Linked DNA regions of Callithrix jacchus. The protein of the gene in region 1 purifies or fractionates together with the protein of each later gene. This does not show direct contact. Links are inferred from orthologs where the notes say so. Each region holds a gene or a part of one and is shown in the gene's direction. Other genes may lie near its edges.

Region 1 (4,329 bases):
GCAGGGTATCTCTCTGTTGCCCAGAGAGTACAGTGCCACTGGAGTATAGTGGCGCGATCATAGTTCACTGCATCCCTTAAGCGATTCACCCACCTCGGCCTCCCTAATAGCTGGGACTACAGACGCGGCACGCCCCGCTTTCTTTTTTTTTTTTTTTTTTTTGAGATGGAGTCTTGCTCTGTCGCCCAGGCTGGAGTGAAGTGGAGTGATCTTGGCTCACTGCAACCTCTGCCTTCTGGGTTCAAGCGATTCTGCTTCACCCTCCCCAGTAGCTGGGACTACAGGTGCGTGACACCACACCGGGCTAATATTTGAATTTTTGGTAGAGGTGGGGTTTCGCCATATTGGCCAGGCTGGTCTCGAACTCCTGACCTCGTGATCCACCCGCCTCAGCCTCCCCAAGTGCTAGGATTACAGGTATGAGCCACCGCGCCGAGCCGATTTCTATAGTTTTTAGAGGTGAGGTCTCACCGTGTTATCCAGGCAGGTCTTGAACTCTGGAGCTCAAGCCATCCTCCAGGCTCGGCCTCCCAAAGTGCTGGAATTACGGGCCTGAGCCACCGTGCCCAGCCCAATTCATTTTTTATTAAATCAACAGAGTTTACAATATGACCATCTAAATAAACATTGTTGACTAATGAGCCGAGATTGTTGACTAATAAGCTATGATTATTTCCTTTATTGTACAGCCTTTTGCCCTTTCTCCAGTGTTGAAAACAGCATCACTTTTCATTTGCTTTTTCTTTTTTTTTTTTGAGACAGAGTTTCGCTCACTCGCCCAAACTGGAGTGCAGTGTCGCAACCTCCACCTCCCGGGTTCAAGCGATTTTCTTGCTTCAGCCTCCCGAGTAGCTGGGATCACAGGCGCCCACCACCACGCCCGCCTAATTTTTGTATTTGTAGTAGAGATGGGGTTTCACCCCGTTGGCCAGGCTGGTCTCAAACTCCTGACCTCAGGTGATCCGCCCGCCTCGCCCTCCCAAAGTGCTGCGATAACAGGCGTGAGCCACCGCGCTCAGCCGTCATTTGCTTAATTTTCTACGCATCATCCAAATGTTCCAACAGACGTGTGGTTAAAGCCTTCGAATATCATTGTCCGCATGCTCAGAAGTATCAAATATCCCCCAGAAATCAATACAGTTTTAAAAGTTTAAGTCAGTAAAGGAAATTGGACCGGGCGCGTTCTGAGGCGCCAATCCTGCTTTCCATCAGCAGGCGTTCCTGCATCTCATCTGACCCTCTCTGCCCAGAAAGGCTTAGGGGCTGCCCCAGGACGTCCGCGCGGTGAGGCGCATTGGAGAAGAGAGAGAGAGAGTGCGGCGGACCCCAATCCCGCGCAGGGTACCCCTCGGCGGCTAGGAGTTTCCCAGACCTCACCAACCCGTCCTCTAGTCGCGCCGGGCCAGGCCCACCCTCGGCGCCCCGCCCACCCCTCGGTGCCCCGCCTGAGGCCACGCCCCTTCTGCTGCCGTTCTCCGCGCTTCCGCTTCCGGCAGCGTGGGTGGTGGCGGGCCGTGCGGTGATGGCGGCTGGCGGCAGCGATCCGCGGGCTGGCGACGTAGAGGAGGACGCCTCACAGCTCATCTTTCCTAAAGGTTGGGCTCGGGCTGCCAGACTCTCCCGCGCCACTTTGCGTGGTCCCCGCAGGCCTGGCGTTAGCCACGCTTCGCCCGAGGCCTGGCCTCAGCGGCGGCTCAGGCAAACCCTGGCGCGTTGTAGTGCTGGGGAGGAAACATGGAACCGGGAGGGGCCGCCTGGCCAAGTGGGTTATTTTATGTGATAGCAGACTGCGAAGTTCCGGCGGGTTGTGTTAAAGATAAATAAAGCCGGACACTCAGGTGGTAAGGTCAGATTTTAAACTAACTGTTGCGCTATGGAAAAGAGTCCAGCGTGAAGCGAACTCAGCTTCGATTAGTACAAAACCTCTGGGCGTTTTAAGGGAGAATTAGGGAATAGGTTGTGGTGAGCGGGGGCTCAGGGGAGTCAGGGAAGTGAGATATTTAAAAAACCGGGAAGACGAGGCTTGGTCCGTGTGAACCCACAGTGGTTTGTTTACTGGCGCACCTATCGAAGTTAGGCCCCTACCTTCCCCCTGAGACGGAGAGACAGGGCTGTCTTCAGCTGTTGGGTAGAACAAAAAATTATTTTGGTAGCCTTCAGTTTTCTCAGGCACGCACTTTAAGCGGTTTATGGTGATCAAGGGGAGGCTATTCTTAGGGATGAGGTCTTCAGCTCAAGAACTTTACAGTATATTGTATACAGCTATCTTACTCTTTATTGATTGTTTGAGATAGGGTCTCGCCCTGTTGTCTAGGCTGTAATGTAGTGGCAAGATCAGAGCTCACTGCAGCCTCAACCTCTCTGGCTCAAGCGATCCTCTCACCTCAGCCTCCCAAGTAGCTAGGACCACAGGTACATGCCCCCATACCTGGCTCATTAAATTTTTTTTTTTTTTGTAAAGGCAAGGTCTCACTATGTTTCCCAGGCTGGTCTCAAACTCCTGAGCTCAAGTGAGCCACAGCACCTGACCTATCTTATTCTTTTTTTATTTTTCCCCCACCCGAGACGGAGTTTCGCTCTTGTTACCCAGGCTGGAGTGCAATGGCGCGATCTCGGCTCACCGCAAGCTCCGCTTCCTGGGTTCAGGCAATTCTCCTGCCTCAGCCTCCGGAGTAGCTGGGATTACAGGCATGCACTATCATGCCCAGCTAATTTTTTGTATTTAGTAGAGACGGGGTTTCACCATGTTGACCAGGATCTCGATCTCTCGACCTCGTGATCCCACCCGTCTAGGCCTCCCAAAGTGCTGGGATTACAGGCTTGAGCCACCACGCCCGGCCCTAACTTACTCTTTTTTTTTTTGGAGACAGTCTCGCTCTGTTGACCAGGCTGGAGTGCAATGGTGCGATCTCGGTTCACTGCAACCTCCACCTCCTGAGTTCAAGCATATCTCCTTCCTTAGCCTCTGGAGTAGCTGGGATTTCAGGTGCGCCCAAGCCCTGCTAATTTTTGTATTTTTAATAGAGATGGGATTTCACCATGTTGGCCAGGCTGATCTTGAACTCCTGACCTCGTGATCCGCCCACCTTGGCCTCCTAAAGTGCTGGGAGTACAGGTGTGACCTACTGCGCGCACCCTCTTACTCTTTTAATGGGCTAGGTAGTACTTATTGATTGTACCTTAATGCTGTTTTTTTGTTGTTAGAGATAGAAGTTACTTCCAGTGTTTGGAGGGTTTTCTGGGTTTTTTTGATTTTTTGTTTTTTGTTTTTTTTTTGAGACCGAGTTTCGCTGTTGTTACCCAGACTGGAGTGCAATGGCACGATCTCGGCTTACCGCAACCTCCGCCTTCTGGGTTCAAGCAATTCTCCTGCCTCACCCTCCCGAGTAGCTGGGATTACAGGCACGCGCCACCATGCCCAGCTAATTTTTGTATTTTTAGTAGAGACGGGGTTTCACCTTGTTGACCAGCATGGTCTCGGTCTCTTTTTTTTTGAGACGGAGTTTCGCTCTTGTTACCCAGGCTGGAGTGCAATGGCGCAATCTCGGCTCACCGCAACCTCCGCCCCCTGGGTTCAGGCAATTCTGCCTCAGCCTCCCGAGTAGCTGGGACTACAGGCACGCGCCACCGTGCCCAGCCAATTTTTTGTAATTTTTAGTAGAGATGGGGTTTCACCATGTTGACCAGGATGGTCTCGATCTCTTGACCTCGTGATCCACCCGCCTCGGCCTCCCAAAGTGCTGGCATTATAGGCGCGAGCCACCGCGCCGGGCCGGTTTTCTGTTTTTTTTTTTAAGAGACAGGGTCTCACTGTGTTTCCCAGGTTGGACTGCAGTGGTTATTCACAGGCTCAGTAATAGCACAGCCTCAGACTCCTGGGCTTAAGCAGTTCTTCCGCAGCCTCCCAATAGCTGGGACTGGTGGTGCCCAGCCTCCTTTCAGTTTTTTATTTATGGAATGAGGGTCATATGTTTCCATAGGTAGATTTATGAAAGTTTTTGGCATGATAGAAATAATAGTTTCTTTTTTAAGGGATAACTAAAAAGATGCTTTTCTTAATTTGATGATACACAGATTTTTTTGTACTTGGGTTTTGTGTAGGTACTTTTTGCTTAGTGAGTTTATTACACTCTGCATATAATTTTTGATGAAATCAGGTAGTGTCTGGTACACATGAAAATTTTGCTGAATTGGATACAGTTGACTGTGAACAACACAGGCTTGAACTGCACGGTCCACTTATACGCAGGGCTTTTTCCAACCAAACTTGGATCAGGCTGTGAAACTGAGGATACAGAGGGCAGGCAGGCTTTTTGTATGCGAGTTCTG
Region 2 (4,120 bases), on another chromosome or scaffold:
TTTCTCATTCAGTCAATGCTGGAGCAGGTTTAAGTGCCCTTTACAGGAAGTCTTATACTGAGAAAACTTGTTTTGATATGTTAACGAGTCTGATCAAAATGGACCAGATTTTGGGAATAGAGAAATGGTTGCAATTGTGCTCCCTGGAATAGCTCTGGATTTTTACCTAGATCGTCTGTCTCTTTGGGACGGAGCTGTTTGTGTTTATGTAGCATCTTACATAGGATTGACACACCTTCAATCTTCTATATCAAAAAAATTGGGGGAGGGCGTGGTTTTGGAGGTTATGGGGTTTTCAAACCTCCCAAGTGACATCTGCTGGGACTGCATGTCTTCCAACTCTTTCTACTGGGATGCACCTCTGGTAGAGGAACTACAAGAAGGTAAAAGCTGGGTCCGATACGAACCTGCCTTCTTCTCAACAGCTGTAAAGTAAAGTCTTTTCAACAATTTTACACATTTGGAAATAGGTCTAAGTGAAGACGGGGATTTTCAGACTGGTACGTTGGAAAAGCAGCTGGGCTTTTGGGTTTGAAATCGGGTGCTGTCGCTGGTTTTGTGCCCTGGGAATATTTATTTCCGTTTTCGTGACGCTGTTTTTCTATTGGCAAAGTAGGAAATTAGAAAAGGTCGTCAGGCGGTTTGTACAGCCGCTCCCACTCCTCACCTCTTGTGGGCCTTGGACATGTATGTTGGGGGAGACGTTCCGGATTGTTGCAATGATCTGGGAGTGCCTGGCAGCCAGAAGCACCTGAATGTCCCGCTGCAAACGCCGTTGCGCCCCAAGAAGGGACCGTCCAACCTGAACATTTCCGGACGTCACGAAGCCGGGCTAGGAGGCACCACACGCAGGCCGGAGTCTCCCACGCCTTGTCTCACACTCTCCTCTACGTCATTAATGGCCAGCTCATCCTTAAGGTTTCCACTGGAATCTCGCTTTGCAGACACCCTCCGAGGTGTCCAACGCAACGTTACTATTGTATTATTATTTGATCGTCCCCCTGACTTCCCCACTCCGTAAACTCCAACTATAACAGAGGACGTGGCTATTTGGTGACTAACACGTCGTGTTTGGTGAGGTCACCCTGGCGCAGAACACTTTCTGTACAAACCGATGCGCCGCTGACGACGGGTGAAACGCTCACACGAGGGGAAAGGGCGCCAAGCCGCGGCGCCGGCGTCATGACGTCACTTCCGCCCTGCAGCGATTTCCCCCCGGACGCCCCCTTTCTCCCGGTCCGTGTTTGTTTCCGGCATTTCAATAAAGCTCGATTCGGCTCGAAGAAGAGCCCGTTCTTCCGGGAAAATGGCGACTCCCGCTCATGCCCCGGAGTCACCGGCGGCCGCGGATCCGGCGCTAGCTGCGGGGCCTGTTGAGGAAGCCGAGTGCCCGCCGCCACGCCAGCCTCAGCCTGCGCAGAATGTCCTCGCTGCCCCGCGGCTTCGAGCCCCAAGCACCCGAGGACCTGGGGCAGCGGAGTTTGGTGGAGCTGCGGGAAATGTTGAAGCGCCAGGAGAGACTTTTGCGCAACGTGTAAGCTGCGGTCCCGCGGAGTCACTGCCAGGCTCCTTCAGCTGGAGCTCCCTGGGCGCTCCCCTTCCCTCCCTCACTCCATTCACTTCCCTGGAAGGTGACCTTGCCTCAGTCACATTCGCCTCAGTCCTCCGGGCGAGTGGACAGAGGACTTGCTGCCGCAGAGCCGTCCCTCTCCCTGGCCAGGCACGTTTGCCTGCGAGGACGACTCGTCCTGGACGGCTCCTTAGCGCTGCAGTGAGTTAGTAGCTCCTCGCTGGTGGTGTTTTCCCGGGCACTCTGTTGGCTCCGTGAAGCAAGAGTCTGCATCCTAAGCCTTTGGCCGCCCGCGCCCCTAACCCATAACGGATTGTCAGCTTCATGTCTGGATTCTATGGTTACAGGAACCGGAGGAAATGGGGAGAGTGGGATGTGAGGAGCTGTTTATTAGGCCGGGAAAGTTCGACCCTCATTCAGCTGGCTGATTTAAAGGATTTTAGTAGGGGAGCCACGTGATAAAAGTGATTTTGTGTTTTGGGCAGTTGTGTTCAGCAGCTTCGTGCAAAAGATGGTTTGAAGGAATAAAAAGCAGAGGACAGTAGAAGGATGCTTGCAGAGAGGCTCCCCACGAGAGAGTTGTAAGGAAGTGAACTAGGAAGGAATTGGGAAAACTTTAAGCATGGACTAATTTACATGTAGTTGGCAGAGATGGCCGAAGTTTCCTATGTATATGGAACACCACTAGCAAAAAATAGGAAAATTCGGGGAGAGGAATAGATCCAAGGTTGATTTTACTTAGGGTGTGCGGAGGTGAGAGGAGAGCAGGACAGACATTTGGTTAAGTGAAAACCAAACAAAAGCTGGAGAAGCAGTCATGAGGCTCAAGAAAGAGAGAAATTGGAAAAATATAGAAAACATAGGAATTTCAGCTGTAGTGTTGTCAGTTGTGAGAATGAATGCATTGTCGAAAAGAACAGAGGACCCAGGGTTTAATTTTTTCTCTCCATTGATTCTATAAAGAAAAGGGAATCAGAAAAGGAACTCTGTTATCCAACAAAAGAGATAAATATTTGATTGGGGTCCAGACAGGTGTTTTGACCTTGTGAGAACAGGTTTTCAATCTATGGCAGTGAATTAACTTTCTGGTCTTGGGACTCCTTTATACTTTAAGAATTATTGACATCCCATGGAATTATTTATGTGTTATATCTAGCAAAATTCATTTACTTATCAGAAATGCAGCTGAAGTCTTTAAAACGTAAGTATACACAAGCACACATTCTATTCTAGAACAATGATGTCATCACATGTCATGTAGCCTCTGGAAAACTCCACTGTACCCATGTGAGGAAGTGAGAGGGAAATAACATCTTGGTATTATGATGAAAGTAGTTTTGACCTAATAGACCCATCCCCACACTCAACCCCATCCTCACATTTTGGAGATTTAATGACTGCTGGTTCTTGGAATGCCTTACGTGATTATTATATGCTTGAAGTACTTTTGCTGAAATTCTAATTTGCTGAGACAAATGAGGCATATATTCTCTGTTCCTGCATTCCCGTGTTTTTTGGGCTCTTTGGATAATGGCCATTTATTTGTTTTATTCCCATTTTGGAGAAGTTAGAAATCAGATATTCGATTTAAAAAATTGGCTTTTTTTCTTACAAGTTAATGCTTAGCTTCTTTAATGTTGTATGTCAAGTTTAAAAACGTGACTGTAATATATATGTATTCTTTTCCATTTGACAGAAAATTCATTTGCAAATTGCCCGACAAAGGTAAAAAGATTTTTGACTCTGTTGCCAAACTGAAAGCTGCCATTGCAGAACGTGAAGAAGTTAGAAGAAAAAGTGAACTGTTTCATGCTGTTAGTTTAGACTGTCAGCTAAGGCAAGAAGCCACTGCAGAGGTGGATGTCGATACAGATAAGGCCCGGAATTCTGACCAGATACTTGATGCTTCATCACTAGCTCCTGGCTGTTCCTCTGTAGATAACATCAAGTCATTTGAAACAACCTCACGAAACCAGGGACTTGGACGTCCTACTCATGAAGGTGATGAAGAGACTCCAGAGGTTGAGTACGCAGTGAGTAAGGGCCCAGCTTCCAGCAACAGAGACGGAGCGCCGCCTTCGTCTGAAGCTAGTGAGCATCACCCGCAGCATCGTGTTTCAAGTCAAGCAGAAGATACTTCCAGCAGCTCTGACAGCCTGTTTATTGACAGGTTACAGGGGATCAGCATTGCAGACCAGGGTGAACAACAGTCAGAAGAAAGCACAGGTGCCATGAACTTGACAGGCCTTTCTCATGCGACTCAGAAGAAGCCTCATTACATGGAAGTGCTAGAAACGCGAGCCAAAAACCCAGTGCCCCAGCTGCATACATTTAAGACCAATGTGTAAGTACCATCGGAAACAGGCCTGTAACAGGGGCATAGTATTTGTTAAACCTAAAAAGTTACGAGAAGCTGGTTGTGATGGTGCTTGTCTGTAGTCCCAGGCTTCTCAGGAGGCTGAGGTGGGAAGACAGCTTGAGGACAGGAGTTGGAGAAGGTTGGGCAACCTTTTCTTTTAAAAAAAAGTCAGGAGAATGCTCTAAGTTCCG
Region 3 (4,192 bases), on another chromosome or scaffold:
TTCCCTCATGCTATGCACGTTAAAATAAAATATCTTTTGAAGTGCCCTTTGTCGGTTGATTTTTTGAACAAACCCTCAGAGAGCAAGGGGAAGTTTCTCCTTGCCCCCCACGTGCTATATGGCAGAGGGCGAAGCGCTTTAAGTTAATGTTCTGAGCGGTCCCTCCACCCCTACCGAGGAAACACAGCAAGGAGCTTGGGACGGATTTTTTACGACGTATTTTTTTTTTACAATTCCTTTACAATCGCCCCAAAATTTTATCCACTTTCACATCCTCACGATCCAGCAGAGTGCCTAGAGTGTACACTCTAGAAATGTTTACTGAATTAAGAAACGGCTGACAGTGTGTGCAGCTAGTGTGGCCAGAAGAGCAGTTTCAAGTCCCAGGCACTCATTAGTTGTGTGATCTGGGGCAAGTCGCCTAAATATACCGAGATCCATTTCTTCACCAATGAAACAAGAACATTACTACTTCCCTTGTCTACCTACTGGCTCCTCAGGAGGCTTTACTTAATGAGCGGCACTGTAAAACGCTGTACACGTCTATGTAGAGTTTTCATAGGGCTGTTGATTAGTGTGAATGGTGAAATGGAAAGAAACCTGGACTCCGCAGTCAGAAGCTGTTGGGCCGCTCGCTGACTTGATGATGGTCCGGACCCTGTACTTAATAGTTTGTAAGTCCGCTACAGGCTCGGAACCTCAAGTGTCCTCAGAAAGGGAAAGCCCAGGGTTCCCAGTCAAGGTCGCGGGGTACTAAGACGCGGGACGCTCACCCAGTCAAAGTCACACGGGTTGCCGTCTTCGCGTTGGGTAGGCAGACCGTTGCAGAGCGGCGGCAGTTTCCTCACGAGTAGGAAGGCAGCAGAGAGCAGGGCCGACAGAAGGTAGTAAGGTTGGGCCAGCCATCGTGAAAGTCGCGGCACAGAATACACCAGAGCAATTAGAGGTGCCAGGATCGCCATCTTTTTGGCCGTTAGGGCCGGGGCTCATTGGCGTTGTAGGTCTGGCCCCGCCTCCCTCACCATAGAGACTGCTATTGGGCCGTATCTCAAATGTACCGCCTCTAAATCCGGATGTAGCTCTCTGGACGCTGTGGTAGGTCAGAACCCAAATAAGAATTTAACATATTATTGGTTAGTCTAGTTGTCGCTTTATCCACCTAAGTCATTTTATTGGACTGTAGCAAACGAAGCTAGCAGAAGAATCTAATAAGGTTAAATAGCACTTTCTAAACGTTCTCATAAGGCGACGGAAGTAGTTGCTGAAACAAGGTAAGCGGTGCCTGAGGCATCCAATGACAAGAGGCTCCTTGAGAAAGAGGGCGGTACCCTTAAAAGCATTGTCCAATGAAAATTACCAACGCCAGACATCTAGGCAGCGCCGAGGCGGAGGGGACGATGGAGAATTTCACGGCACTGTTCGGGGCTCAGGCTGACCCACCACCGCCCCCAACCGCACTCGGCTTCGGACCAGGAAAGCCTCCACCCCCGCCACCACCTCCTCCAGGCGGGGGTCCCGGCACGGCCCCGCCTCCCACCGCAGCCACGGCCCCTCCCGGCGCGGACAAGTCAGGAGCTGGCTGTGGCCCTTTCTACCTAATGAGGGAACTGCCAGGTGAGTACACGGCCTTGCCAAAGCCAGCCAATCAAATCTTAGAGAGGAGGTGATGGGCGTGGTTCTCAGCCGGCTAGCGGAGGTGCCAGGTAACCTAAGAAAGACAGACTCGGACTGTGGAGCCATAAGTCGGAAGCGCTGTTAGGATTCACAAGCAGAGGGATGACTTGAATTCAACCAAACGGCGGGGGAGAGGGACGGTGAATCTCCGTGACACTGGTTTATGTCTCCCTAAAAAAATGATCCAGGACTGGGCGCGGTGACTGATGCCTGTAATCCCAGCACTCTGGGAGGCGGAGGCGGGCGAATCACCTAAGGTCAGGAGTTCGAGACCAGCCTAGTCAACATGATGAAACCCCCCCTCTCTACTAAAAATACAAAAATTAGCCGGGCATGGTTGCGTATACGTTTAATCCCAGCTACTCAGGTGGCTCAGGCGGGAGAATCGCTTTGAACCCGGGAGGCGGAGGTTGCGGTGAGCCTAGATTGCTCCACTGCACTCCAGCCTGGGCGACAGAACGAGACTCCCTCTCAAAAACAAAAGATCCAGGAGATCCAGGGTTTCAGTTAGGAACTTGAGAGGCCTGATTTAATATCTTTGGGGACCCAAAGTTTTAATTTTGCTGTTGGTTTGGGGCAAGTTGCCATTATTCCTTCTAAGGTTCCGGCGTTTCCTGGTCTGTTCTAAGAAGGGATAAGAATCAAACCAAACTCTTTTCATTCAAAAATTAATTTTGTTGAGTTCCTATGTACCAAGCACTTTTGTAAATGCTTGAGATACAGTTATGAACAAGACTGACAAGATGCTTGCTTTTTTTTGGAATGTACATGTCAGTGGAGGAGGCATTGTAAACAAGATTATATCAGAGAGTGATTAATTCTAGGAGGAGAAAACATGATAAAGAATTGAAAGGGGCCAGGCGTGTTGCTCACACCTGTAATCCCAGCGCTTTGGGAGGCCCAGGCAGGAGGATCCTTTGAGTCCAGGAGTTTGAGACCAGCCTGGGCAACATGTCGAGACCCAGTCTCTACAAAACATACAAGAATAGCCAGGCACGGCAGTCCGTGCCTATAGCCCCAGCTATTGGGGAGGCTAAGGGAGGAGATTCTCTTGAACTCAGGAGGTTTCGGCTGCAGTGAACCAAGATAGTGCCACTGCACTCCAGCCTGGGCAACAGATGAGACCATCTCTCAAAAGAAAAAAATGTTGAGGGCAGAACTACTTTAGTTAGAGTGACCAGAGATGCTCTTTCCATGTAGCTAACATTTGAACTAAAATATAAGCATAGACAAAGGGCCAGCTATGGATGGATAGGAGGGAGAGATAATACTAGATACAAGTAATGAGGTCAGAAACCCTGATGTGAGAAAACGCTTAGAATATCTGAGGGACAGAAAATCAGTTGGACTCCAGTGAAGTGAACGAAAGGAAAGAGTCTTAGGAGAGAGAGACAAAAGGAAAGGTGGGAGAGTTAGGCAGAGGCCTTTATAAAGTAATAAAGGCATTTAGATGGCAAATACCAAAGGAAGCCGTTTAAAAAAAAATTTATAGAGGCAAAGTCTCACTGTGTCACCCAGGCTGGACTGCAGTGGCATAATCATAGCTCACTGTGACCTCGAATTCCTGGGCTCATGCTGTCCTCCCAGCTCAGCCTCCCAGGTAGCTAGGGCGACAGGCATGTGCCACCATGGTTGGCTAACTTAAAATTTTTCTGTAGAGATAGGGTCTTACTGTATTGTCCAAGCTGGTCTTGAACTCCTGGCCAACAGCAGTCCTCCTGCCTTGCCCTTCCAAAGTGCTGGGATTATAGACGTGAGCCACTGTGCCCAGCCAAGGAAAGCCATTTTAACACAGGAACTTGGTCAGATTTACTTATTTATAATCATTCAAGCAGCCACATGACAAATAGAAAGTGGGGAAGTCAGAGGTTACCACTCATAGTCCAGGAAAGATGATGGTTCAAACCAGGGCATAGCAGGGCATAGAGAAGTAAATGGATACAGGATGTTAGAGGTAGAGCTGATGGGGATGAAAAGTTGAATATAGGGCCAGGCGCTGTGGCTCATGCCAGTAATCCCAACACTTTGGGAGGCCGAGGTGGGAGAATATCTTGAGCCCGAAAGTTTGAGACAAGCCTGGGAAACATAATGAGACACATCTCTACAAAAAATAAATATAATTTAGCTAGGCATAGTGATGTGTGCCTGTAGTCTCAGCTACTTAGGCGGCTGAGGTGATAGAATTACTTGAGCCCAGGAAGTTGAGGCTGCAGTGAGCCGTGACTGCACCACTGCACTCCAGCCTGGATAATAGGGGAAGAAGTGAAGGAGAGAGTAAAGTGAAGGAATGATGTCTTCTTAAGTTTTCACCTTGAATAATTAGGTGTATGGGTATGGAGACTTGGAAGATGAGGAAGGAACAAGTTTGAAGAGGTGGAAATCAAGTTTTCTGGACATGTTAGGTCTCCAAGATGCCTTTCATTATCTCAAGTCTTATTTCCACATCATGACTTGAGGGAAATAATAACAAATATTGGTATGGTACTCTGAAGTTCACAACACCCTTATATGTAGTAGT

Evidence for each region. The genes of interacting proteins can lie anywhere in the genome.
Region 2: the proteins of POLR2D (region 1) and POLR2M purify together in Homo sapiens (affinity purification with mass spectrometry; 3 studies listed by BioGRID and IntAct, counting the BioPlex papers as one, with this or other methods). This does not show direct contact. The link is inferred for Callithrix jacchus from reciprocal best matches to the Homo sapiens genes POLR2D and POLR2M.
Region 3: the proteins of POLR2D (region 1) and MED19 purify together in Homo sapiens (affinity purification with mass spectrometry; 4 studies listed by BioGRID and IntAct, with this or other methods). This does not show direct contact. The link is inferred for Callithrix jacchus from reciprocal best matches to the Homo sapiens genes POLR2D and MED19.

Annotation. Positions count from the first base shown.
Region 1 is NC_133507.1:36,558,514-36,562,842, forward strand, and holds the start of POLR2D (DNA-directed RNA polymerase II subunit RPB4), read left to right. Parts: upstream 1-1,499; 5' UTR 1,500-1,522; coding exon 1,523-1,595; intron 1,596-4,329. UniProt on the Homo sapiens protein: Core component of RNA polymerase II (Pol II), a DNA-dependent RNA polymerase which synthesizes mRNA precursors and many functional non-coding RNAs using the four ribonucleoside triphosphates as substrates.
Region 2 is NC_133509.1:3,678,524-3,682,643, forward strand, and holds the start of POLR2M (protein GRINL1A), read left to right. Parts: upstream 1-1,292; 5' UTR 1,293-1,421; coding exon 1,422-1,534; intron 1,535-3,266; coding exon 3,267-3,914; intron 3,915-4,120.
Region 3 is NC_133511.1:115,289,751-115,293,942, reverse strand, and holds the start of MED19 (mediator of RNA polymerase II transcription subunit 19), read left to right. Parts: upstream 1-1,364; 5' UTR 1,365-1,397; coding exon 1,398-1,614; intron 1,615-4,192. Other genes in the region: TMX2 (thioredoxin-related transmembrane protein 2), read right to left, coding at 774-962. UniProt on the Homo sapiens protein: Component of the Mediator complex, a coactivator involved in the regulated transcription of nearly all RNA polymerase II-dependent genes.